Linked DNA regions of Mytilus edulis. The protein of the gene in region 2 purifies or fractionates together with the protein of the main gene of each other region. This does not show direct contact. Links are inferred from orthologs where the notes say so. Each region holds a gene or a part of one and is shown on either strand. Other genes may lie near its edges.

Region 1 (8,660 bases), on a different chromosome or scaffold from region 2:
TGTAATGACTTCTAAAGTTTAGAACAGTTAACCCTTCTTCACTGTCTTCTTCTGAATGTAAAACATGAGTTTTACTAGTGATCATTCTGGGAACATTACCTTCTTTACGCCTTGTGTATGTTCGTGTAGTTTTCTTTTTACTATTTTGGTCTGCAAATGGGTCCTCTATTTCTCTTTCAGGAGAATCGGAAAACACATCCCTTCTCTGTGGCCTTCCTTGAACCTTATTTTCTTCTTTGGTAACTGCCACAGACTGATCACCTGATTCTTGGTCATCATCGCCCCCTTTTTTCCTACGTGAATATGTACGTACAGGTCGTCTAGAAAAATTAGACAAAGGAATTTCATCTTCCTCCTCTTCTGTTCTTTCCTCTATATTCTCAGAATTATCTACAATTTGCTCTTGTCCTTTATGTGATACCTTTAGATTAGGGATAGCAGGACGTCCTAATCCACTCCCTGAGTTTGAAGTTGGAGGGGGTGGTAAAACAGGGGCCTGAACAACTTCTTTTTTCACTGTCTCACCATCTTCAAAATCAAAAGAGAAAGGATCTGCAGATTCTGTCTCTATTTTGACTTTTTTACATGTGACTTCAAATGGATCATCTTCTCTTAAACGACTGAATGAAGTCTTGCCCCACTTGGTCTGTGATGTTGACCTGTTCGCTGCTGAATTTGGTTTAAGAGCATCATCAAATGCTTTACTCTGAGCAGCTTCTCTGTTGGCCTTCCCATAGGTTTTAACAGCAGATTTGGTAGCCATGTTGTATCTAAAATATAAGTATATAAAAGCATGAATATTGAATTTCAAAGTTCATTCAAGTCTGAAAAATTAATCATTAAAAATCAAATTCAGATTGAAACTAATTATTGTTTTTTTTAGTTTTTCAGTAAAATATTCATACAGAAGTTTACTTTTTTGCATAACAGATTCAGTTCTTCATTATCCACTATAATCCCTAAGTTCAAGTATATATATAGTTAATAAAAATACCAAACATTTCAACAGAACACACACAAAACATGGGAAATACGACTTTTCACAAAGAATAAGGATAGACTTCATGAGCATTTGCTGCCACATTCATGTCCACACATTTCTTTGAAATTATCAAGTTGAAAAATAACGTACATGTACTGAAAAGAATTTAGCATAATTAAAAAGTAACACAGGAAACAAACAATTATCTGATTGGGGAAAATTCTCATAAATGGGTACTATCCCCATTTTGGGGTAAAAATTGTATTCATTTATTATACTTTACATATATTTAATTTATACATAGAATTCTAGTGGGTAACATGTTATCACGTGACATGGAATAATTCAGCTAATTTTCATTTAATTGCAAGGAAGGACAAATATGCCTAAAAATTTATAACAGCTGAGAATAACCCTATTAATCACTGGCAAGTAACCTTTTTGGTTTCTTGATTATTACATAAGTTATCTCCCATGAAAGAGATGTCACAGACGTAATTAAACAAAAGTGCAAAGTTCACGTTACTGGAAGACCATCGATCAAGAGAATAAGAAATAAGAATTTGGAAGATCATCTTGTGCCGATGATATCTCTCATAAATGGTCCTTTGGCTTGTTTATACTATACAAATCATTGGTTGTACAAACAAGAATTCTAAGACACTAATGTATTTTTGAACATAAACTTTGTATGTCTACTGACTAAAGTAAGTAAAGTGCTCTTAGTGATTCAAAATACCCTTCCACTGTTAGTTTGGTATAATAAAACAATTGTGGCCCCTTAGAAGCGATGAATGTCAAAATTGTCAACCCTTCAAAATTATTATACTTAAACTTCTTGTGTTAACAGTTTTAGATATTCACCTTGTCTATGGGTCATTATTGAAAATTATACCCAACAATTGAAAATAGAATTTAATGATGTAAATACTGCATGTATTTAGCTTGGTATGAGTAAAAACATTGAAGATTTTAAATGAAAAACACTAAAAGATTTTAACAGCTTGGCTCCTTTGATCTGAAACAATGAAACAAAAAAATCATAGCAATGCACTAACCAAAACATGCTTAAAATTTATTCAACACAAATACCTTGTTATAGTCTCAATTTATTTTGAAACAATGAAATAAAAGTTAGCAATACACTTAACCAAAAAAAGATTACGATTTATTCAACACAACAAACACGTCTTAATTTAATTTAGGACAATGACAACAAATATACTTATAGGAATACACTGACTTGCCAAAACTTAATTATAAAGTTATTAAACACAAAACCAATAAAAATCTGGCGCGAACGTGTAGGGTGTGAAAGTGAAAGGGAGCGGACGTGATAGGGTGCGAACGTGAATGGGCGCGAACAGACTCAGATTCTTTTAGGGGTATAATACCAATACACCTTATTGCTATTTAGAAATCTGTCCTGCTTGACCAGATAATCGGACCCTTCTAAACTATTGACATCCTACCACAATCACTTTTCCATTGTGGGCGTCAGATAATTTGTATTTATTACATCAAAATTTTAATGGAACCTTTGAGATGTACAGTAATAGCGAACAAATAGGTATTTGCAGTATATAATTTGTTTCCCAATCCACTATAAATAAATATGTTTAAAGCTAAGTGGTGATAATATCCAAACTTGAATATGAACAGCTGTAGACTAGTCCACATTCATCTAGCCTGGGGTCCTGGCTAATCTTGTCAGTATACGAGGCGCAGCTAGATTGGGCCGGATGCCAGGCTAACATTCATCTTGACAAAATACCTAAATAGTTGTTGTAGTAAAGGTAAAAGCAAAGATTTTTTTAAAGTATGAAGTATGCACAAACAACATGCCAAGTCATCTGCCATGATCTCGATTTGAAAAGTATAAATTATAATTTATACGCAATACAACAAGATCTTAGTTGATCCTGATGTAGCTACGAGGAACAATATAATCGTCAATTATTTGTTTTTCACAGAAAGTAGTTTAATATCTCAAAAAAATAACTCTAAGCTAGACGTAAATCAATGTGCATATCTATCAGAAAAGGCGAAAAAAGATTGATCATTTTGAGGAGGTAAGATAACTCGTACAAGAGAAAGATTGCGTTCATTCGTCCATCTGAGAACGTGTCGCGCCAAATTCTTTGAGTAAAATGTTGCGTAAATGCATAATATTGTAATGAAAAACTCCCATTTTCAATTCACCTGTTAAAAACAAATCTGCATGATATACAAACACAATCGGCAGCTATCGCCTGTACAGCGCCATTTTGAAAATTCTAACAATAACAGTTGTACGCAGGCGCACTCTCATCGCACTTGTCTTTCAGGACAGATTTTACAGGCATTGTTTCGTAAATCAAAGGGGAAATAACTTTAAAAATAGTTCAACTAATCAGTAAGTGTTATTTCCCTTTGACCCATTTTTTCCCCAATCACCTGCACATTATTAAATAATGATTAAAAGCACTACTGTAAATAATTAAAGCAACATTTAGAACAACATACTCATGAATTGGTTATATATTAAATTTTATCCATGGAATGGAAATATTTTTTTTATAGATATTTGTCCTTTAAAAGAAAGAGTCACATGTAAAATATGTTATCTGTAAATATTCGTTGACATAAAATGTTTTTGTTGGCATTATGATGTAATAACACATACAGCTTGGTCTATTGTTTCGGCTTAAATTTTTGATAATTCCTGCTATCCTTTTAGTGTAACTTAGTTTTAAGATCTACCAAGTTACGGCAAGTGCGGCTAATTATTTTATCTACATGTATAAATTACTTTTAAATGTCAATCATGGCCAATAAGCAACACCTCAGGCGGGCACAAGAGAAGATCGAAATGTGTTTTATAAGACAAAATAAAAGTCATGGATGACTCGTGAAATGATCCCCACATTATGGACCTCAGTAGATGTTTGCTCTAACGACCGAGGACTCGTGAAATGCTCCCCACATTATGGACCTCAGTAGATGTTTGCTCTAACGACCGAGGACTCGTGAAATGCTCCCCACATTGACCTCAGTAGATGTTTGCTCTAACGACCGAGGACTCGTGAAATGCTCCCCACATTGACCTCAGTAGATGTTTGCTCTAACGACCGAGGACTCGTGAAATGCTCCCCACATTATGGACCTCAGTAGATGTTTGCCCTAACGAGTGAAATGCTCCCCACATTAAGGATCTCAGTAGATGTTTTGTCTAACGACCGAGGACTCGTGAAATGCTCCCCACATTGACCTCGGTAGATGTTTGCTCTAACGACCGAGGACTCGTGAAATGCTCCCCACATTGACCTCAGTAGATGTATGCTCTAACGACCGAGGACTCGTGAAATGCTCCCCACATTATGGACCTCAGTAGATGTTTGCCCTAACGAGTGAAATGCTCCCCACATTAAGGATCTCAGTAGATGTTTGCTCTAACGACCGAGGACTCGTGAAATGCTCCCCACATTGACCTCGGTAGATGTTTGCTCTAACGACCGAGGACTCGTGAAATGCTCCCCACATTGACCTCAGTAGATGTTTGCTCTAACGACCGAGGACTCGTGAAATGCTCCCCATATTATGGACCTCAGTAGATGTTTGCTCTAACGAGTGAAATGCTCCCCATATTATGGACCTCAGTAGATGTTTGCTCTAACGAGTGAAATGCTCCCCACATTATTGACCTCAGTAGATGTTTTGTCTAACGACCGAGGACTCGTGAAATGCTCCCCACATTGACCTCGTTAGATGTTTGCTCTAACGACCGAGGACTCGTGAAATGCTCCCCACATTGACCTCAGTAGAAGTTTGCTCTAACGACCGAGGACTCGTGAAATGCTCCCCACATTATGGACCTCAGTAGATGTTTGCCCTAACGAGTGAAATGCTCCCCACATTAAGGATCTCAGTAGATGTTTGCTCTAACGACCGAGGACTCGTGAAATGCTCCCCACATTGACCTCGGTAGATGTTTGCTCTAACGACCGAGGACTCGTGAAATGCTCCCCACATTGACCTCAGTAGATGTTTGCTCTAACGACCGAGGACTCGTGAAATGCTCCCCACATTGACCTCAGTAGATGTTTGCTCTAACGACCGAGGACTCGTGAAATGCTCCCCACATTGACCTCAGTAGATGTTTCCTCTAACGACCGAGGACTCGTGAAATGCTCCCCACATTATGGACCTCAGTAGATGTTTGCTCTAACGACCGAGAACTCGTGAAATGCTCCCCACATTATGGACCTCAACAGATTTTTGCGCTAAAGACAGAGGACTCTTGAAACTATCCACACAATATGGATCTCAGCAGGACTAAATAGGTTGGCCGCATCCGTGAGAGCTATAGACGACTTCAAGCTAATCATTCAGCTGTTGTATATTTCATACATACCGGGTATATCATATATATAGAAAACCCTAACTATTCATTGTATCACGATGGCGAGGTAGAACTTGGATAAGTTTATTTTCTATTGAATGGGCCCATGAAAAGCACCACAAAATCACTGATAATACACTATTTTAAACAAAAACGTACAAAGTACAAAGTTTGAACGTAGAACATATCTCTACATTTTGATTTTATATGTACCTGTCGTACTAATATGCCATCCTCACGCCCAGTCACGACAGAGAGGTATTATAATGATCTAAATAATGGAAAAACAAAGGATATTGTGTATCCATCCATAACACAAAATCAGTTAATGCACAACCACAACAACAACAACAACAACAACAACAAAACACACAAAAAGCAAAGGAACAGCGCTTTTATTGCCGTTCTTCATCTCAAAGTCACAGTGAGGCCCTCAACACGGAGCAAATAAAACTCACATCACTGCAAATTTTATACATGTATTTTCATTATAATTATATGGTCATATATATTTATTGATATATCCATATATCTTACATTGAGCAGCATGTCAATTTCCAACCAGAAAGCAACTGCTTATACATTATGGAAAGAGAGAATAAATTGCGGAAAACCTTCATGTTCTCTTATTAAGTTTTAGAATATGTGCTCGATACAAAACAAAAATGTTTTCATCAATTATAGACGACGATGCTGTTAAATGTCCAGTGTCATATTAATTGAATATACAGGACGAGAACATGTTAGTGTGATATTATTTTTAACCATTCTCTGTACTAGACGGACAAGGTAACAATCTTAAGGAAAACATGCTACCCAGACACATTATTCTGCATCCAAGCCTACAAATCGTTGCTCTTACTCATAAATGTCACATGCCTAACTCTTAGCCGTAAATGCCACATGCCTAACTGAGAATCAACACATACAAATGTTCAAGTCTATGTTTTACCCGTCCCTGAATTGAAATCATGACCTCCGGCGGAACTCTAGATGAGCACACAGTCATGAGAATACCAAGGCGATTCAATTTATTGTATTTGTTGTAATGAGTGTTGCTAGCTTACCATCCAGTTGCAATTCAATTTAATTAGATCTTTTGAATTAAATTGCTCATAGCTTGACTAATTGTAGGAACGGTTAAACTTTACTTCGAATTAAACGAAAGATTAGAACTGAGCTGAAATGAGGCTAGCTTGATTTGTTTTATTGACCCCATATGTGTTTTTATGATGAAAGTGTAATTCAATAGACAATCGGTATTGATATGGGAACAAACCGAACTCCTTTTCTCATCGGCACGTTTTTGAATATATTCCGGTATATGAGGCAGTTAAAATCTAATAGTTAATTTATATCCTTCATAAAATGATACCAAGAGTTGAATGGAGTAAGAATAGAAGTACGTTTACCCTGGAATTGCAAATGCTTAGCAGGGTACGTCCGTTTAGATGCGCTGCATATATAAATAAGCAGCTATTTCCAATTGGAATTTTGGGCTTTAATTCCACTGCCTTGTGTAGGGAGAGTGACACGATTTCTTGAAGTTTCAAACCTGAACTGCTACATGTACAATTGCAAACTAGCTGCTCATGTCTTTCGTTGTATTCTTGTCATGTTACAGTTAAATTTGCACCACCTCTGCAGAACCTTTCTATTGGAATATTTTCAATTTGTTTCCCCTATGAATATATATATATATATATATACAACTCGTCTAAACATCAACCCAACAATGTTAGATCTGTAAATTTGCTTTCGCAAATTTTTGGTTCTTCCCTCGACGGGATTCGAACCCATGCTACTGTGATATCGTGACACCAAATCGCCTGCACTGCAGCCGTCCCGCTAGACCACACGACCACCTGGGCTCTCAAAAAAGAGCTTTCGCTGGCCGTGTGTTACCTTTCCACGTCAGTTTTAATCTAGCGGCGTACTGCAGTACATGATATATAAGGCATGAAGATGTTATTGTTACAGATCAGCTAAATTGAGTCAGTGACAACCCTACAACAGAGATATATATATATGACATGCGGTGTTAACCAAATAATCCTATAAAAATCATCTTTTTGAGTCTTTGAATGCTTGGTTTATTCAAGTTCAATCTTTAGCTATATAGCTGATCCATTACCTACAATGGAAAGAGTACAATATTATCTTGGCATATTGAGTTCGATTTTCGTAACATATTGAGTGTGACATTATTATAGCATAAGAAGTGTGTAATATTGTCGTGCCATAATAATTAAAAGCGTTATATTGTTGTGGCATTTAAGAATATCATATTGCCGTGGCATATCAAAAGTGCAATATTGTCATAGCATATTGTGAGTGCAATGTTGCCATAGCATATTTAGAGTGCAATATTATATTTTATTAACCAACTAAGTGCATTATTGCCAAAAATGACTGGTTATTGAAAATAACGTATTTTCTGTAATGGCCCTGTTTTTCTGTAATGGCCCTGTTTTTTCTGTAATGGCCCTGTTTTTCTGTAATGGCCCTGTTTTTCTGCAATGGTCCTGTTATTTCTGCTATGGCCCTGTTTTTCTGTAATGGCCCTGTATTAATGCCCAGCTTGTCTATATTAAGCCCAGTTAGGGTTTTTAATAAAGTTAATAAAATTAAGCTGTAAAGAGTATAATACCTGTTTGTAATTTATTTAATTTAGTAACCAGCAACAAACATTAAAGAACCATATAAAGGGATCACTGTTCATCCCGTTTTTCAACACATAAATTGGTTTCTTTCAACTTAATATCTTGGATATTTGGGATATTTAAAGCTTGATCATGGTGAAGTACAATTTTTTTTTTCAAACTAAACTGTCATTAAAAGAGTAAGAGAGTACACCAAGTTGGCAGCACCACATACACTTTTTCAGTTGGTTAAAAAATGTATTAAGAAATGGGTGTTTTTATAATGGCCCTGTTTTATGTCCTTGGTCAGTAATAATTGCCTCGGATGTCTGTAATGGCCCTCGGCGTTGCTTCGGGCCATTACAGACTTCCTCGACCATTATTGCAGACCTTGGCCATATAACAGGACCATTATAAAAATACTATTTAGTGCGATATTGTAGTGGAATATGAAGAGTGTGATATTGTTGAGACACATTAGGAACGCGATGCTGTCATGGTATAAGAGTGCGGCATTGTGGTGGCTTATTAAGAATACAAAGGATGCGAAATTGTTGTAGCAAAGTAAAAGAACGATATTATTGTGGCATGTTTATAGTGCAATAGTGTCGTGTCATTCAGATTGCATATAAAGAGAGCGATATTGCAGCAACAT
Region 2 (9,038 bases):
GATGCTAGAGGAAACATCTTATACACTTTTGGGGTTTTTCTTTTCATATTACATGCATAAGTCAACAAATGTGTTTGTCAAAGTTTAACCATAATGAACATTTTAACAAAAATTGTCAAATACATGTACAACATTCCACAAAATCCATTTAAGACAATTTTGACCTCTTTTTAAAAGAGTTGTGGTATTACTGCCAATGAAACTACAGAGACAAAAGATTGTCGGTTTATATTCCATGAAATATTTCATATCATGGTCTTTTCAATCATCTTAGTGTCAAATGTACCTGATCAAGGTTTTAGAAACATGAAAATTATGTTACAGATATTTCTTTTGTTTATTGGTGTATTCAAACAGGAAAATTTTAAAGACTGATGAAAAGTGAAGTCTGGTCTGCAATATATGATTCTGATGTTGCTTGTCAAACATGTCAAAAGGAGATTTGTGGTCAAAATAACATGAAGAGATGTTGTATGATTGCCAATTGGACAACTATCCAACAGAGTCCAAATTAAACTGATTAAAGCAATTATATGTCCAGGGAACAGCCTTCAAAAGTAAACATAAGTCGTCTTGGTTGTGTGGAACATATGGAATGTGAACTAGTAAACTTGACAAAGGTTTTATGGATGATTTGGAATAATATCTTATAATTTGTTTGAAATATGCATTATTCGCATGTTTGTTACACACATGCTATACGCATCATTTAAAACGCATATTATACACATGTTTCTTACAACACATGTTTAACACATGGTTTTGAAACATGCGTTTTACATCACATATATTTTTCATGTGTAAAACGCACGAATAACGCATGTCTTAAACATGCGTTTTACATAACATGTACTTTTCATGCGTAAAACGCATGAATAACGCACGTTTAAAACATGCGTTTAACATAACATGTATTTTTCATGCGTAAAACACATGAATAACGCATGTTTAAAACATGCGTTTTACATGCGTGGTAGGAAAAAGACGTTTCCCGTGCGTTACCAAACACATGTTTTACATATGTAAAACATGTGTAAAACATGCGTGGCACTTTTCCCTGTGTACAGTGACCTATAGTTGTTAATTTCTGCGTCATTTTGGTCTCTTGTGGAGAGTTGTCTCATAGGCAATCATACCACATCTTCTTTTTTATAATCATTCACAATAATTCATAATCTCTTTATTTTCATAACAAGAAAAAGTTAAAGTAAAACGTGCAATAAGCTATATATTTGTATTACATTTTCATTTCTGATTCACATGAAGTAAATTTGTACCCCTGACTGTTTGTGAGGAATTAAATAACCAAACTATCTAATGACTTAAAAGTTTACATATGTACATGTACATGTGCAGATTTGACTTGTATCTATTTTTACCATGTACTATTACCAACTCTATACCTCATTTTTCAATACAAATCCATGAAAATTGTCTTACAATAAAGGAATCTCATCCCTGTAATTTAATTAGTGGAGAAATCCCTTCTTCACGCGAGAATTTGCATCAGTTACAGGGCTCACACTACTTAAGAATTATAGGGAGAAGTGACTTCTCTTTTTGAAACTGATAGGGAGAAGTGGTGAGATTTGAAAGAGAAGTGCTCATTCGCGCGGTGCGCTACAATGTTTGGATTTTACAATAGTATAAAGGGCCTATGTAAATAATGTTCTTTATATGTTGTTCAATTCATATGAGTAAAAAATTACAATTAAAGTAACATTTGAAATAAAAAGTTGTTTAAGTTTTACTAAGGTTCTTGTGAGAACCTACCAACTAAATATCTAGCACTAAAAAAAATAATTTTATTTTAAAAAATGTAAAGAAATTATAATATATCAATTACAATTTAATTAAAAATTATCTTGTGTATGAAATTCAGTGTTTCTCATAAAAAAAAATATAAAAGTTATTAAGCTGGGCCATAATATATTGATATTAGTATAATAGTCTCAGAGTTAAGCAACTTTAATCAATAGTTTGAAACAATCCATAAAAAATATTGGTAATTATATACACCAATGAATTAGATGTAACCAAAAGTCTCTTAATGCGTGTGGAATGCGTAATTTCTCTTTGGGATCAATATTCTTCTGTCAGCTGTTCCATCCGTGCGTCCGTAGTAATTATTGTAAAAGTACAGATTTCGGTCATAGCTGGTCCGGTTCAGATCCATAGTTTAGAAATCGGTCAATGGCGGACGAATGCAAGAAAATTTACAAAAATAAACGATGTTTGACAAGTTATTTGGAAAGGAACATGACGGTTTTAATGCAATAAAAGGATTAAGCATTTACTGGAGGCAACTTTTATCACGTTTAAATGAAGTAACAAACTTATTTTGCCGCCGAAATTTAGGTTGATGTACGCTTTCGAGTAACAAGCACCGGAACATGCGCAAGTTGCGGAAATGCACGAAGTGATAAAAAGTTGTATTTTTATCAAATAACCTGCTACACACTGCGAAGACAATGCTTCAACCTCTTTTTCTAAAGATAATGAATCGTTTATGTCTGAATTTCTTTAATTAGCAGTAAAAAATTGATGTTTCATCAACTTGGTAAAAATTGAAAATGTCTGTTGACGGAAGCGACTGAAAGCGACTATCGTCAAGAACAGGGCGACTTGTTTTCGCTTTTGGGGGTTGGGGAAAGCCAAGTGACGGTCGGGAAGGCGACTTCTTCGCCCAAGTCGCCTGGTAGCGTGAGCCCTGCAGTTCAACTATTGACGTCATACAACAACTCTATTCTCTTAATGTTTACATATATTGTATTGTGTAGTCAAAATCTTACTAGGACGTCCGTGATGTCCAGTAATGGCAGACAAACAGCATTACTTTAGTTTCAAGATACAGTGTCCATTTTACCACATCCCATTTTATTTTTCACACAAACCTCAATTGTCTGTAATGACAACTTTTCAGACAACATGCAGGCTTGGGATCAGTGTAACATAATCTCCATAAACATCAACATCAACAATACTGGCAAATTCGTAATTCTTCAGCATTTTTGTACAATACTTTAGAGTAATAGTGAAACATATTTTTTAGAAATGTTTTTTATTTAGAAGTGGTATTAGAGTAGTGATGTCATTGCAGAGTTTTCTTGAGTGATAAGTACAATAACAATGTCCGGACGAACCAACAAGATGACCGAATATGGACTACAGTTCATACAAGGCACAAATGTGCACCATAATTCAGTTACCTTGTTTTGTAACCCCTATTAGCTCCTCAGCACAATGACTTATTTCACATTATTTCGTTTACCAGTTAATACCAGTAATACCAAGTCAATTAAATGCCAACATCAGTATATATTCAATGTGTGCTAATGTACAAAATTTTGGGAATATGTCAGGGACGCGGTTGCAATATTTATAGCTTAAAGGGAAATGCATTTCGGACGCATAAAAATAGTATCATTAAATGCATTTCCATAGCATCATTCTTTACCTGTTTTATATACATCGTACAGTAAATTAATTCATAGTTAATAAATTAACATAAAATTTCGCGGTCTGCTTTGTTTACAAATTGCAAATGGCGGCAAAATTTATATCGCTTACGTCAACACAAAATTGCCTATATTTACTCGGTTTTTATATTTTCATTGGTTTCATTCATGGTTTATTTAAATAGTCAAAAAGGATTTCATTAGGTATAAGTTTTTTTTTCATTTCATTATGATTATTAATGTTAAAAATGTTATAAGCACTTGATCTACAAAAACTGTCTAAATTAAGTACACAAAACCCCGTTTCGTGACCTAAACTTCGTGTGTCTTTGCATGCGCGTAGCTACGTTTACGTCAAAACGCCCGGGCGTACACTTGAATTTTGAAAATAAAACAAATAATCGACATAGAATAAGAAAAACTGGTCAAAAGCACATCAGCCTTGTGCTTCTTTTTTCAATGGATTGTAATTTTAAATAAAAAGGGACTAAATTTACTCAAATAGATCAGTTAATATATTTATTTGAATCTTTTGTAAAAGTCTGAATCTACTATAAATTCTACGTACTTTTCTTATATTTAAAGCAATTCACTATCTGCTCAGATTCGATATGCTGTTTGTATTTTTTGTCGAGCCTGTGAGATTTTTGAAACTATGGGATCAACTTCAAGTTGTTATATTGTGCAATGTTTTATCAAAATTATGATACAATGATATTTTTAATTTTTATATTTTCTTTAACATATGTAATAGTTTTAAACTAGTCATTTGAGGGGGAAGATTTTATAGCTTGCTGTTCGGTTTGAGCTAAAGGTCCGTGCTGAAGACCGTAATTTGACCTATAATGCGGTTTATTTTTACAAATGGCACTGTCTACGGTTACATTCAGTGAAATGAAACAATAATAAAAATAAATATTGTTACATTGGAGACTATTTGCCAGAATGCAGGTTTGGGTAAAAACCTATTGATTTCGAATGTAACAATAACGACTGTGTCTACCCGGTTACATTATGTAGATATGGCTCCAGTCGATCATGCTCAGGGACTGTGTCCATAGCGATCTTAAGGGCTGCTGCGATCTAAGAGCTCTTGTCGATCTTATGAGCTGCTGTCGATCTTAAGGGATCCTGTCGATCTAAGGGGCTCCTACCGATGATCTAAAGGGTTTCTGTCGATCGTAGGGGGTTCTTACCGATCTAAGCTAGACACTTGTCGATCGAAGGGGTTCTTGTCAATCTTGGGGCTCTTGTCAGTCTTAGGAATTTCTTTTTATTCGAAATTTTATTCAGCTGAGTGATGTTTATATTGTAACCAATGAACCGCTTATATTATAACAATATGCCGCTTACACAAATGCCGCTTATATTCATTGTTCAATGTACCGCTTATATTGTAAAATGTACCGCTTATATTATAACAATATGCCGCTTACACAAATGCCGCTTATATTGTTCAATGTACCGCTTATATTGTAAAAATGTACAGCTTATATTGTAACAAAATGACACTTATATTGTCACAATGTTCCGCTTTGATAGTTTATAACAATGATGTACCGCTTTAATAAATTGAAACTAAATTGTAACTATGTGCCTCTTATATTATAATATAATGTTCCACTTATGTTGTTACAATGAGCCGATTGATACCGAAACAGTCCCGTTATTAATTCTAAATTCGTCAATGATACCCACGTGAGAGTCCTGACAATTACAGAATACAATACGACTGAGACCAGACAAAGCCGTTTGCAATGCGATAGAGCGGACCGTGATAGGATTACGTTCCGACAGTACCTGATCATCCCGAGTATGCCGACAGTTTTCGAACGGATAGCTTCCGTCAGCGTTGGTTCATTGTCTAGTCACTATCTGATCTCTGTCGGATTACATTCGGTAGAATGGGGACGCAGTCGTGACAGACTCGGTAGAATTTTACCTGGTGAAAGAGACAAATCGGACTAGAAGCGGATTTAGAACGGGATTATCGGGATAAATTCGCTTGGAAACGGTTGAATATCGACGCTTCCTGAACAATATCTGATTGTTGTCGTGATTAAACTATTTTTTTTACAAATTTTAATTAAAGTTTGAATTTCCATCCACGATTCATAGGATCTTGATCAGACTTTTAATAAATTTTAATCGGGAATGGTCCTGTCAAGGACGCCAGTAAAAATCGTGAATGTGTGACCCCAGCTTAACTCCTAATTTAAAACTAATAGTACGGTAGGTGAAATACCGAATCAGTGGTGACACAATGAACGTTGTGCTCGCCCAAAATTTGGGAGGTTGTGAAATTGATTAAATTTGAATCAAATATTTTTTTAAATATTAGTATCTATTTACACTGCTAATCCGCTATACACGCTACCTTTGAGAGTTAGATCAAATATAAGTAGCTTGGAGCCAAGATAATGTTAAGCGATTGTCATTAATATTCAACTCAGCGTGATAGTTTTGTGATAGATAAATACATTCATACCGTACATAAAGAATATCAAATAAACTTTTCCCAGCCTGAATATCCATGTAATAGTTCCCGCTGTGCATTAAGCGTCCTTAGATTATATTCATATGTGACTGTGGGCATTTTAATTACTGCGTGTCATCAGTTTTACAGTTTTATTGGCATGAGCAATACTGTGTTAATTATTTTAAACGAAAAATGCGACCTGCATACCATTCATATCTTAGACACAAAATACGCACAAGTACGCATATTGTACGTGAATTTCCCTTAAAATTCAGCATTTTACAATGTCCGATAATTTTTCAGAGAACAACACTCAACAACGTCCTTTTTTTAACAACCGGTCACTTTTTTTGTATTCATTAAGAAAATGTGAATAAGAAAGTAGGCAATCTTAACATTTAAAACTGATACGTGTTTCTAGATTATAACTATTACTTGGAAAATTACAAGGTTATATTTTTCATTAAGTCACAAAACATATTACAACTTTGATCAAATTTAACCATTTTCGATTCAATGCTTATTTTCTGCCCTGGAAACATTTTACAATAAACTTGCAGTATTACGACATATAGAAATTCACTGGGTGCTATGTATTTGAACGGTCTTTAGAACCGAGTATATGTAATTCAATTTCATTTCATGCTATCTTTCTTTTTATATAATATGTTATGATTGGAATATAATACAGTGGCGAAAACTTTCATTGGAGTAGGTTAGCTAAAGAATAGCAGGGAAAAAAAAGAAAAAAAAGGTCAATAAAAGGTCAAATGGACAGACATGTACTACTATAATAACGACCTTTAGAACAGTAATCACAACGGTAATATGTTATCTCTGCTGTTCTTTACTAGTTTTGTTCAACCTCCCGAATGCTTGATAGATTGCTGTTCTTAACTAGTTTTGTTCAACCTCCCGAATGCATGATAGATTGCTGTTCTTAACTAGTTTTGTTCAACCTCCCGAATGCATGATAGATTGCTGTTCTTTACTAGTTTTGTTCAACCTCCCGAATGCTTGATAGGTTGCTGTTCTTTACTAGTTACGTTCAACCTCCCGAATACTTTATAGATTGCTGTTCTTTACTAGTTACGTTCAACCTCCCGAATGCTTGATAGATTGCTGTTCTTTACTAGTTTCGTTCAACCTACCGAATGCTTGATAGATTGCTGTTCTTAACTAGTTTTGTTCAACCTCCCGAATGCTTGATAGATTGCTGTTCTTTACTAGTTTTGTTCAACCTCCCGAATGCTTGATAGATTGCTGATCTTTACTAGTTACATTCAACCTCCCGAATGCTTGATAGATTGCTGTTCTTTACTAGTTTCGTTCAACCTCCCGAATGCTTGATAGATTGCTGTTCTTTACTAGTTTTGTTCAACCTCCCGAATGCTTGATAGATTGCTGTTCTTTACTAGTTTTGTTCAACCTCCCGAATGCTTGATAGATTGCTGTTCTTTACTAGTTTCGTTCAACCTCCCGAATGCTTGATAGATTGCTGTTCTTTACTAGTTTTGTTCAACCTCCCGAATGCTTGATAGATTGCTGTTCTTTACTAGTTACGTTCAACCTCCCGAATACTTTATAGATTGCTGTTCTTTACTAGTTACGTTCAACCTCCCGAATGCTTGATAGATTGCTGTTCTTTACTAGTTTCGTTCAACCTCCCGAATGCTTGATAGATTGCTGTTCTTTACTAGTTTTGTTCAACCTCTCGAATGCTTGATAGATTGCTGTTCTTTACTAGTTTTGTTCAACCTCCCGAATGCTTGATAGATTGCTGTTCTTTACTAGTTTTGTTCAACTTACCGAATGCTTGATAGATTGCTGTTCTTTACTAGTTTTGTTCAACCTCCCGAATGCTTGATAGATTGCTGTTCTTTACTAGTTTTGTTTAACCTCCCGAATGCTTGATAGATTGCTGTTCTTTACTAGTTTCGTTCAACCTCCCGAATGCTTGATAGATTGATGTTCTTTACAAGTTTCGTTCAACCTCCCGAATGCTTGATAGATTGCTGTTCTTTACTAGTTTTGTTCAACCTCTCGAATGCTTGATAGATTGCTGTTCTTTACTAGTTTTGTTCAACCTCCCGAATGCTTGATAGATTGCTGTTCTTTACTAGTTTTGTTCAACCTCCCGAATGCTTGATAGCTTGCTGTTCTTTACTAGTTTCGTTCAACCTCCCGAATGCTTGATAGATTGCTGTTCTTTACTAGTTTTGTTCAACCTACCGAATGCTTGATAGCTTGCTGTTCTTTACTAGTTTTGTTCAACCTCCCGAATGCTTGATAGATTGCTGTTCTTTCCTAGTTTTGTTCAACCTCCCGAATGCTTGATAGATTGCTGTTCTTTACTAGTTACGTTCAACCTCCCGAATGCTTGATAGATTGCTGTTCTTTACTAGTTTTGTTCAACCTCCCGAATGCATGATAGATTGCTGTTCTTTACTGGTTACGTTCAACCTCCCGAATGCTTGATAGATTGCTGTTCTTTACTAGTTACGTTCAACCTCCCGAATGCTTGATAAATTGCTGTTCTTTACTAGTTTTGTTCAACCTCCCGAACGCTTGATAGATTGCTATTCTTTACTAGTTACGTTCAACCTCCCGAATGCTTGATAGATTGCTGCTCCTTACTAGTTTTGTTCAACCTCCCGAATGCTTGATAGATTGCTGTTCTTTACTAGTTTTGTTCAACCTCCCGAATGCTTGATAGATTGCTGTTCTCTACTAGTTTCGTTCAACCTCCCGAATGCTTGATAGATTGCTGTTCTCTACTAATTTCGTTCAACCTACCGAATGCTGTGTTCAACCTCCCGAATGCTAGATAGATTGATGTTCTTTACTAGTTACGTTCAACCTCCCGAATGCTTGATAGATTGCTGTTCTTTGCTAGTTACATTCAACCTCCCGAATGCTTGATAGATTGCTGTTCTTTACTAGTTTTGTTCAACCTCCCGAATGGTTGATAGATTGCTGTTCTTTACTAGTTTTGTTCAACCTCCCGAATGCTTGATAGATTGCTGTTCTTTACTAGTTTCGTTCAACCTCCCGAATGCTTGATAGATTGCTGTTCTTTACTAGTTTTGTTCAACCTCCCA
Region 3 (8,489 bases), about 67 Mb from region 2:
AGAGGAGAAGATTTTTGTAAAAGTTAACGACGACGGACGACGACGACGGACGACGGACGCCAAGTGATGAGAAAAGCTCACTTGGCCCTTCGGGCCAGGTGAGCTAAAAAGTGACAACATAGGTGTTTCCTTTAACATTCAATTTATAAATTTTGATTTTGCTATTTCTTTTTTGCATCAACGTGCACACAACTGCGTGTTAGCGTATAGGGAGCTATGATCTTTTTCTGCATGACTCGAACAGCTTCATCAACACTTGTAACTAGGTTGTCAAACTAATATCCGGGTTAGACGGAAAAGACACCAACAGTCTCCGAACGTGAAACAAATATCATACTCATAATAGTCTTAGATAATACATGCAGCACACTGTCTGATTCCGATTGACCAATTTTTTTTTTTTTTGTGAGACATGGATGCACGTGCTGTCGTGCCTCTGGGTAGCTACGCCCCTGTAGGTCCAACTTAAACTGATCTAATCACACACTTTAACATATAAAGTATTCAAAATATGCAGTCAATAGACCATGACTGAGGGGATAGGGCCATATGATTCTGTGGAAATGGGATGTGTCAAGAATAATTACATCTGCATACCAAATATAATTGACCTACTTATGGTTCCCCATAAGCTGACCTAATTACAAACTATACATGAAAACTTCAACAAAAGTTACAAATTTAATAGACCATAACTAAGGGGGCAGGCCCAAATGTTCTCCAAAGAAAATAGATGTACCAATGCTAATACAACTACTATCCAAATTTCGTTGACTATCATAAGTGGTTCCCATAAACTGACCTTATTACTAACGATCAACATAGACTGAATAAAAAATATTGCCTTAAAACAGTATTGTATAATATTTACCATGTTCTTTTAATATCTACTGCACTAAAATCTCTTCTTTTCAGCTGATCAATCTTTGTAGCAGCAAGCCTGAAATTGTTCATTGTTTATATTTACAACTAATTTTGATATTTCGTCCAATTTATATGCACTTTGAGTTAAAAAAGTTAGAGAGTGGAAAACAATTTGGGGCGTACAGATGGACATGAAGGGGCATTAAGATTCTCCCTGCAGCTCCATGAATATTGATATTGATAATTTTCAACTAAAGGGATCTTTTCATCACTTGACAATTTTCAGGTATATTTTGTAGTTTTTCTTTGACAACTGAGCATATTCATATATAAATTACTCTCTTCTCCTTAATGGTCTTTATGCTCTTGATGATCTATCTCCCTTATAATTGATGATCTATCTCCCTTATAATTGATGATCTATCTCCCTTATAATTGATGATCTATCTCCCTTATAATTGATAGTCTATCTCCCTTATAATTGATGATTTATCTCCCTTATAATTGATGATCTATCTCCCTTATAATTGATGATCTACATTGTATCTCCCTTATAATTGATGATCTACATGTATCTCCCTTAAGTTATAATTGATGATCTATCTCCCTTATAATTTCTAGTATTTGCTGCAGACATTTAAACAGTAAATATTTTAAATACATGTATAATAATTTAAATATATATGCTAAAAAATTAATAGATGTACAAGTAAAACAATCATTTCTAACAATACATAAAATTCTTATCTATTAAAAATGGAAAAGGGAGGGGTAGAGATAAAGTTGAACACCAGTTTTATAAACACAACTATGATCTTCAGCTTATTTAATCATTTCAATGTTTTTATGTTAAATGTGGACTTACCAAACTGTTCCAAATTTTCCTCCTCTTCTTTGAAGAATACTTTGGTGATAGAACATTATTGAAATATATATATGTACCTGAAACAACATTATAAAATAGTAAAAGAAATATTATTCATATAGAGACAGTTTGTTTTTAAACTATCATTTCCATTTTTCACTATCCAAGAAATCTGATTCTAATTCAAAAGCTTAGTTTTATGTTTTTGATTACTATTGTGCATTACTTGCTCTCTACTGCTGCGTGGTTACATGGAATTAAAACACCTCAGGAAGAGATAAACTAAGATGATTCAGCTGGCTGTAACTTTTTTTTAAATGATGTCAATATATTATTTATTTATAATTTAAATTAATTGACAAGAATTATTGAAAACCCTTATTATTGACACTTTTAATTTCTACAATTCTAAGTAACGGTCAGATCTTTTAAAACACATTCATGGCGTATGATGCCTTGAAGCATCACCTGGGTATCGCCATATAATTGACACTTTTAATATCTATAATTCTTCAGGGCAGATTTTTTTTTATTTTCTGTTTTATGTGAAAGATTTGAGTTTGATCAGTCTGATAAGATAATCTACAAGCCACAGATACATGTATGTACAGAATACAGCAGTTTCTGGTTTTTAGTTGAATCTGTCATGTAACTTCCATCACATGACAAAAATGTAGACATTCCCCATTTCCATTCTCAATTGTATCGTCACTCCCAACACATGTTTAGCAAACAGGTAAAAAGTGATTTTATACTGCACAAAATATTTGGGAAATTGAAATCTAATAAATGGTCATCCTCCCTCAGTCGTACAGGAGTTTAAGTTTATGTTTATGTTTTTGATTACTATTGTGCATTACTTGCTCTCTACTGCTGCGTGGTTACATGGAATTACAATACCTCAGGAAGAGATAAACTAAGATGATTCAGCTGGCTGTAACTTTTTTAATGTACAGAATACAACACATTTAGCGTTTTTATACTGATATTCTAATGATATACTAACCCTAACCCTAACCCTAACTCTAACCTTAACCCTATTTGAAAAAGTAAAAATGAAAATATCAGTATTAAAAGTGTCAATAATATGGGTCTGATGCTTGGTCCGTTTCTGTGTGTGTTAGTTACATTGTAGTGTTGTGTCATTGTTCTCCTCTTATATTTATGCGTTTCCATCAGTTTTAGTTTGTTACCCCGATTTTGTTTTTTGTCCATGGATTTATGAGTTTGAACAGCGCCAGCGGTATACTACAGTACTGTTGCCTTTATTTAGACAAAGTAAAATACTTCTGGAACATAAATTATTTCTATACTACCCTATTTTTTGACGATTCTGAAAATGCTGGAAATTTTTAATAGAGAAGGGATACAGGCACACCATCTATCTGGTAATTTACATCATGAAGGCATGCAAAATTGACAATATTTTCGGGTGAATCCAGGATTCCAGAAATATGACGAAATAATATTACTGAATACTTTTGAACAATGTTTTATAATACAAAATTCACAATTCATGTATAAGTTTGAGTGTTCTCTATTTTTCTCAACTTAAATTTGCATGCTATATTATTTCAACTGAAATAAATCAAAAGGAAACATTTTTGTCTGTGATAGAAACGAGCGCCTGTGCTTTTTTTTTCAAATAGTCTTAAATTACATGGTACACTAATTACTGAAGGTGAACCCCTGAATTACAACAACAAGCAAAATATAACCTTACACTTGCAGTAAATAATATGAAATATAAGCTTATAATTTTCGGACAACTTGCACACCTCTTTCAAAAAACAAAAGTTTCAAATTTCCCGCCTACACAAGTTATTTTTCGATTAGTGCTTGAAATGATCCATTAAAGCTCTACTGTACTAAACACTTGGTTGATTAAGAACTTTTGTGATTTTTCTAATTTTAGAAAGCGGTCCGGGAATTTTTAATATGCACTTCCGGTTGTTTCGAAAGTGCAAGTAAAAATAGTAGAACGTAATTTTCTAATTCTGTAGACCATAACGATTTTTTTACAGGGCAGAAAACAACAAGTTTAAACAAAATATGCCACCACCAGACAGGTAATTTCATTTTGACATCTGATCGCGCTGCTGCTTGCTGTAATTGCACAGGCACTTGTTTCTATAATTTACGACTATGAGTCTATACTAAAGTTAAACAGACTCTAGACAGTCTAGTCCTATAAGTTAACATATGACCTCAGGGGAATTGTTAACTATTTCTGATTTATTTTTTTTACCTATCAATGTGCCATTTGAAAAAGTAAAAATGAAATTATCAGTATAAAAACGTTAAAATGAATAAGACTGCAAAGCCATATGTGAGGGGTGGTAGGAGGGGTCCTGATCCCAAAATCCCCGGCTTAAAAATACCAAATCCTGAGGTCCTGAATTTAAATAAACCTAAATCCTGACATCCCAAAATTCGAAAAAAGAATTCCCTGATCCCGAAAGGGTTAATCCTGAAATCCTGAGCTTAAAAACACCCGATCCTGGAGTCCCGATAAAGGTCCTATACCCCCTCATATGTTATAGGACTAAACAGACTGATTCACGTTCGTTCGGACAGTCCCTTTTCTCTTGTACATTGTACCTGTTCGCCATAGTCCCTTTGCTCTTATACCTGTTCGCCCAGGGTCCATTCGCCCTGGCTTTTTTTGTATTGATGTAAAGTTGCATAATCACGTTCATTATTTGAACAGAGTATGTAACAGTTTGTTGGTAAATTTGCCAAATATTTCTTCCTCTTCTTTAAGTTTCTAGCGATCCTTCAATTGTCGACTATAAAATTTATAATTTACATTGTACAATGTACTATTGTAGCAAGAAAAATCAAAAATAACAAAATCAAAAAATCAAAATAACATAAGTACAAATGTACATTTGAAAAATAAAATTAGATAAAACTATATACATTTGATAACAGAATAGTTAGGGATAGAATATGGGATGAGAGCAAATTCTGAGATCATATACTCTTGAATCCCGGTACTGTATACGTACTGCATGATAATATTTGTTTTGGCAGATGATTCAAATTTATAACTGTTCGTGGATAAAATGAATATTTATAACTGTCTTTAGATGTTTGTATTTGCCTAAATGAGTGTGAATTGGGAATTTGCTATGTCAGCTGGTTTTATTGTCTAGTTGGATCAAAAGGTTATGTGTAGGGACTGATACAATTGCATGTATAATTTTGTAAAAGAAAACAAGTCTGTATCGTAAATGCTTGTATTTGTATTGCTGCAACCAAAATAACATTGATTTGCATAGTAGAATATTGGGGTACAATGTATTTATCTTTATTAATATATTTTACAATTTTAATAATTCTTGTCAGTCAATTTATGTATTATAAGAAATGGATTATGAATATAACTTAAAAATGAATCCTTGTCATGGTTTACAGTTCGTCCCAGATTTGTTTAATTCGTTCCAAGTGATTTTGTTCATGCATACTAGAATATGAGACTTACATCTTAGGTTGGGAGATAAATACTAATCAGCTGGCAATCATGTATTACCAAAGCACATGTATTTACCACCATGGTCTACATTTTTAACCGGATTTTTGTGACAAAAAAGTCGGTTATTGATTTGGGGATGTACGGCGGGCGGTCGGGCGGGCGGGCGGGCGGGAATCAAATGTTGTCCGTGCATTAACTCATGAACCGTTCAACCAAAGCTTTTAAAATTTTAATATGTTATTACTGACAACTATACGAAGGTCAAGTTCAATAATGGCGATTTTGACTTTTACCGTTCATGAGTTATGGTTCTTGAAAGATTGAAAAATGGAGTTGTCCGTGCATTTACGCATGAACTGTTCTACCAAAGCTTCCCAAATTTTAATATGTTGTTACTAATGACAGAATGGAGGTCAAGTTCAATAATGACGAATTTGACTTTTACCGTTCAGGAGTTATGGTTCTTGAAAGATTGAAAAATGGAGTTTCCAGTTGTGTCCGTGCATTTATGCATGAACTGTTCTACCAAAGCTTCCGAAATTTTAATATGCTGTTACTGATGACAAAATGGAGGTCAAGTTCAATAATGACGATTTTGACTTTTACCGTTCAGGAGTTATGGTTCTTGAAAAATTGAAAAATGGTGTTTCCCGTCGTGTCCGTGCATTTTCTCATGAACCATTCAACCAAAGCTTTTGAAATTTTAATATGTTGTTACTGATGACAAAATAGAGGTCAAGTTCAATAATGACGATTTTGACTTTTACCGTTCAGGAGTTATGGTTCTTGAAAGATCGTAAAATGGTGTTTCCATTCACGTTGTTGCATTTACTCATGAACCATTCAATCTAAGCTTTTCAAATTTTAATATGTTGATACTGATGACAAAATGGAGGTCAAATTTGATATTGACGATTTTCACTTTCACCATTCATCAGTAATGGTTCTTGTGATATTGCCAGGACACAAATAAATGTTAATAAATCCGGTTTGCTGTCGTTGTGACAGCCTCTTGTTAAACATCTTATTGCGATTTGTTCATCATAACTGGAAATCACCAAGGTCCTGTACAAAATATCTGACTCTACAATGAAAATGTTGATTGTTGTATGAAGTCAATAGTTCAAGTGTTCAAGATAAGTGGGTCAACCAGCACAGATTCGTAAATAGCTATAAGGTGTAATGCCAGCACATATTCTAAATCAAAAGTTCTTAAAACTGGAGATTCAAATAATTATATCTAGTTTTAGTTTTATCGAGTCCATTTGCCTTGATAACATGCATGTTCACCCCGTGTTCTTCGACCCATAAAAAGTTTGCCCTACATATGATATATATACAGTATACTTTATATAAAAAAGTTGAATAACTCCCATGAGGTCTTTTGAATTATATTTTGATCAACACTATTAGAGAATGACTTGGATTTGAAATGGTATTTAAAGATTCCCAGGAACAGCGGTATTGTCAAAATGTCAACTTGAAGTTCAAATTGAAGTGTGATGAATTTTGATGGAAATTAAATGTACTAAAATCAGAACTGTCAAACCTTATAATATATTTTCAGGTGGCAATAATTCAAATATTATTAAGCTATCACTCATAATTTTTAGCAGACTCAAAAGCTACTAACAGCATGAACCGGATTACCTTAACTAATATTTTTTACACATTGTGACTTGGATTCTTGCTCAAAAGGGAGATTTGTGACCCTTTCAACTATCAATATTAAAATTGGGAAAGGAAATGGGGATTGTGTCAAAGCGACAACAACCCGACCATAGAGCAGACAACAGCCGAAGGCCACCAATGGGTCTTCAATATAGCGAGAAACTGCCACAAGCTTAGGTGTCCTTCAGCTGACCCCTTAGAAGATATGTAGACTAGTACAGTGATAATGGACGTCATACTAAACTCCGAATTATACACAAGAAACTAAACTTAAATATCATACAAGACTAACAAAGTCCAGAGGCTCCTGACTTGGGACAGGCGCAAAATTGCGGCGGGGTTAAACATGTTTATGAGATCTCAACCCTCCCCCTATACCTCTAGTCAATGTAGAAAAGTAAACGCATACCAATACGCACATTAAAATTCAGTTCAAGAGAAGTCAGAAGATGTACAATGTAACAAAAGAAACTAAATAAAATGACAATAATACATAAATAACAACAGACTACTAGCAGTTAACTGACATGCCAGCTCCAGACCTCAAATAAACTGATTGAAAGATTATGTCTTCATCATATGAATATCAGGTACAATCCTTCCCATTAGGGGTTTAGTATCATACTATCATAAAATATATGAGAAGAACATAACCCGTGTCATGCCAACAACTGTTTTTTAAATAAATGTGTTTAGTTCCGATGCAAAGACCCTATAAGTGAATCAATATTAGTTGATATTGAGTACACATGTTTATTGAAATTAAAATCTATTTTGTATGATGAGGAAAAATGTCACTGTCACTCTGACTGACAGCCTTAACAAAGATAACTGCTCATTGATAAAGGCTGTATGCTGACCTGCTATTGTTCATATCTTTGACCTTTTTGTCTTCATCATGTTTATGGATAGTTGTCTAATTGTCAATCATGCCACATATTTATATATATACTGGGTATGTTTTTGACCCCTCCGTTTGTTCGTCTGTCTATCTGTCAGTCCTGTTCTTGTCATCTCAACTCCACTGAAACCACACAACAGAATTTCGTGAAACCGTTTTCTATAATAAAGACATACTATGTAGATGTGCATATCGACAGGAAATTATGATTTAATAAAAAAAAAATCCCAATATACTACTGCAACAGCTTGTCATCACAACTCCTCTGAAACCACACAACAGAATTTCATGAAACTGTAGAAAATAAGGACATACTTTGTAGATGTGCATATCGACAAGAAATTATAATTATGATTCAATTTTTTTTTCTTACAGTTATTTTGTTTGTCCAGTGCCGATATAGGGACGTGGGCCGGGGTATGTGAGCGCTCTCACTAAGGTTCTTTAATTTTATATATGTTTTAGGTGGGAGAAGTATGGTTCCCTTGGTGAAGTGATAAGTGGTACCAAGTTTGTTGCATTCAAAGTTCCATTAAAGAAGGTAAGTCCTTGATATATATATGTGAATACTGATCATTTTAAATTAAAACCTAATGATGCCCATTATGAGCAATAACTATGTAATCACAGTAAGTTGCATGAGCATGAGCAAAACATATAAAGGTATTTATTATGTTAAAAGCAGTATTATTCATTTATTGTCTGCAGTC

The links.
Region 1: the proteins of structural maintenance of chromosomes protein 3-like (region 2) and wings apart-like protein homolog purify together in Homo sapiens (affinity purification with mass spectrometry; 7 studies listed by BioGRID and IntAct, with this or other methods). This does not show direct contact. The link is inferred for Mytilus edulis from reciprocal best matches to the Homo sapiens genes SMC3 and WAPL.
Region 3: the proteins of structural maintenance of chromosomes protein 3-like (region 2) and meiotic recombination protein REC8 homolog purify together in Homo sapiens (affinity purification with mass spectrometry; 3 studies listed by BioGRID and IntAct, with this or other methods). This does not show direct contact. The link is inferred for Mytilus edulis from reciprocal best matches to the Homo sapiens genes SMC3 and REC8.

What each region holds. Positions count from the first base shown.
Region 1 is NC_092352.1:23,026,089-23,034,748, forward strand, and holds the start of wings apart-like protein homolog, read right to left. Parts: upstream 3,325-8,660; 5' UTR 3,185-3,324; intron 771-3,184; 5' UTR 764-770; coding exon 1-763. UniProt on the Homo sapiens protein: Regulator of sister chromatid cohesion in mitosis which negatively regulates cohesin association with chromatin. Involved in both sister chromatid cohesion during interphase and sister-chromatid resolution during early stages of mitosis.
Region 2 is NC_092347.1:1,272,718-1,281,755, forward strand, and holds the start of structural maintenance of chromosomes protein 3-like, read right to left. Parts: upstream 3,585-9,038; 5' UTR 3,473-3,584; coding exon 3,458-3,472; intron 1-3,457. UniProt on the Homo sapiens protein: Central component of cohesin, a complex required for chromosome cohesion during the cell cycle. The cohesin complex may form a large proteinaceous ring within which sister chromatids can be trapped.
Region 3 is NC_092347.1:68,466,987-68,475,475, reverse strand, and holds the start of meiotic recombination protein REC8 homolog, read right to left. Parts: upstream 3,564-8,489; 5' UTR 3,508-3,563; exon of another isoform or gene 3,453-3,507; intron 1,807-3,452; 5' UTR 1,786-1,806; coding exon 1,730-1,785; intron 941-1,729; coding exon 872-940; intron 1-871. Other genes in the region: RNA/RNP complex-1-interacting phosphatase-like, read left to right, coding at 3,782-3,798, 8,245-8,320. UniProt on the Homo sapiens protein: Required during meiosis for separation of sister chromatids and homologous chromosomes.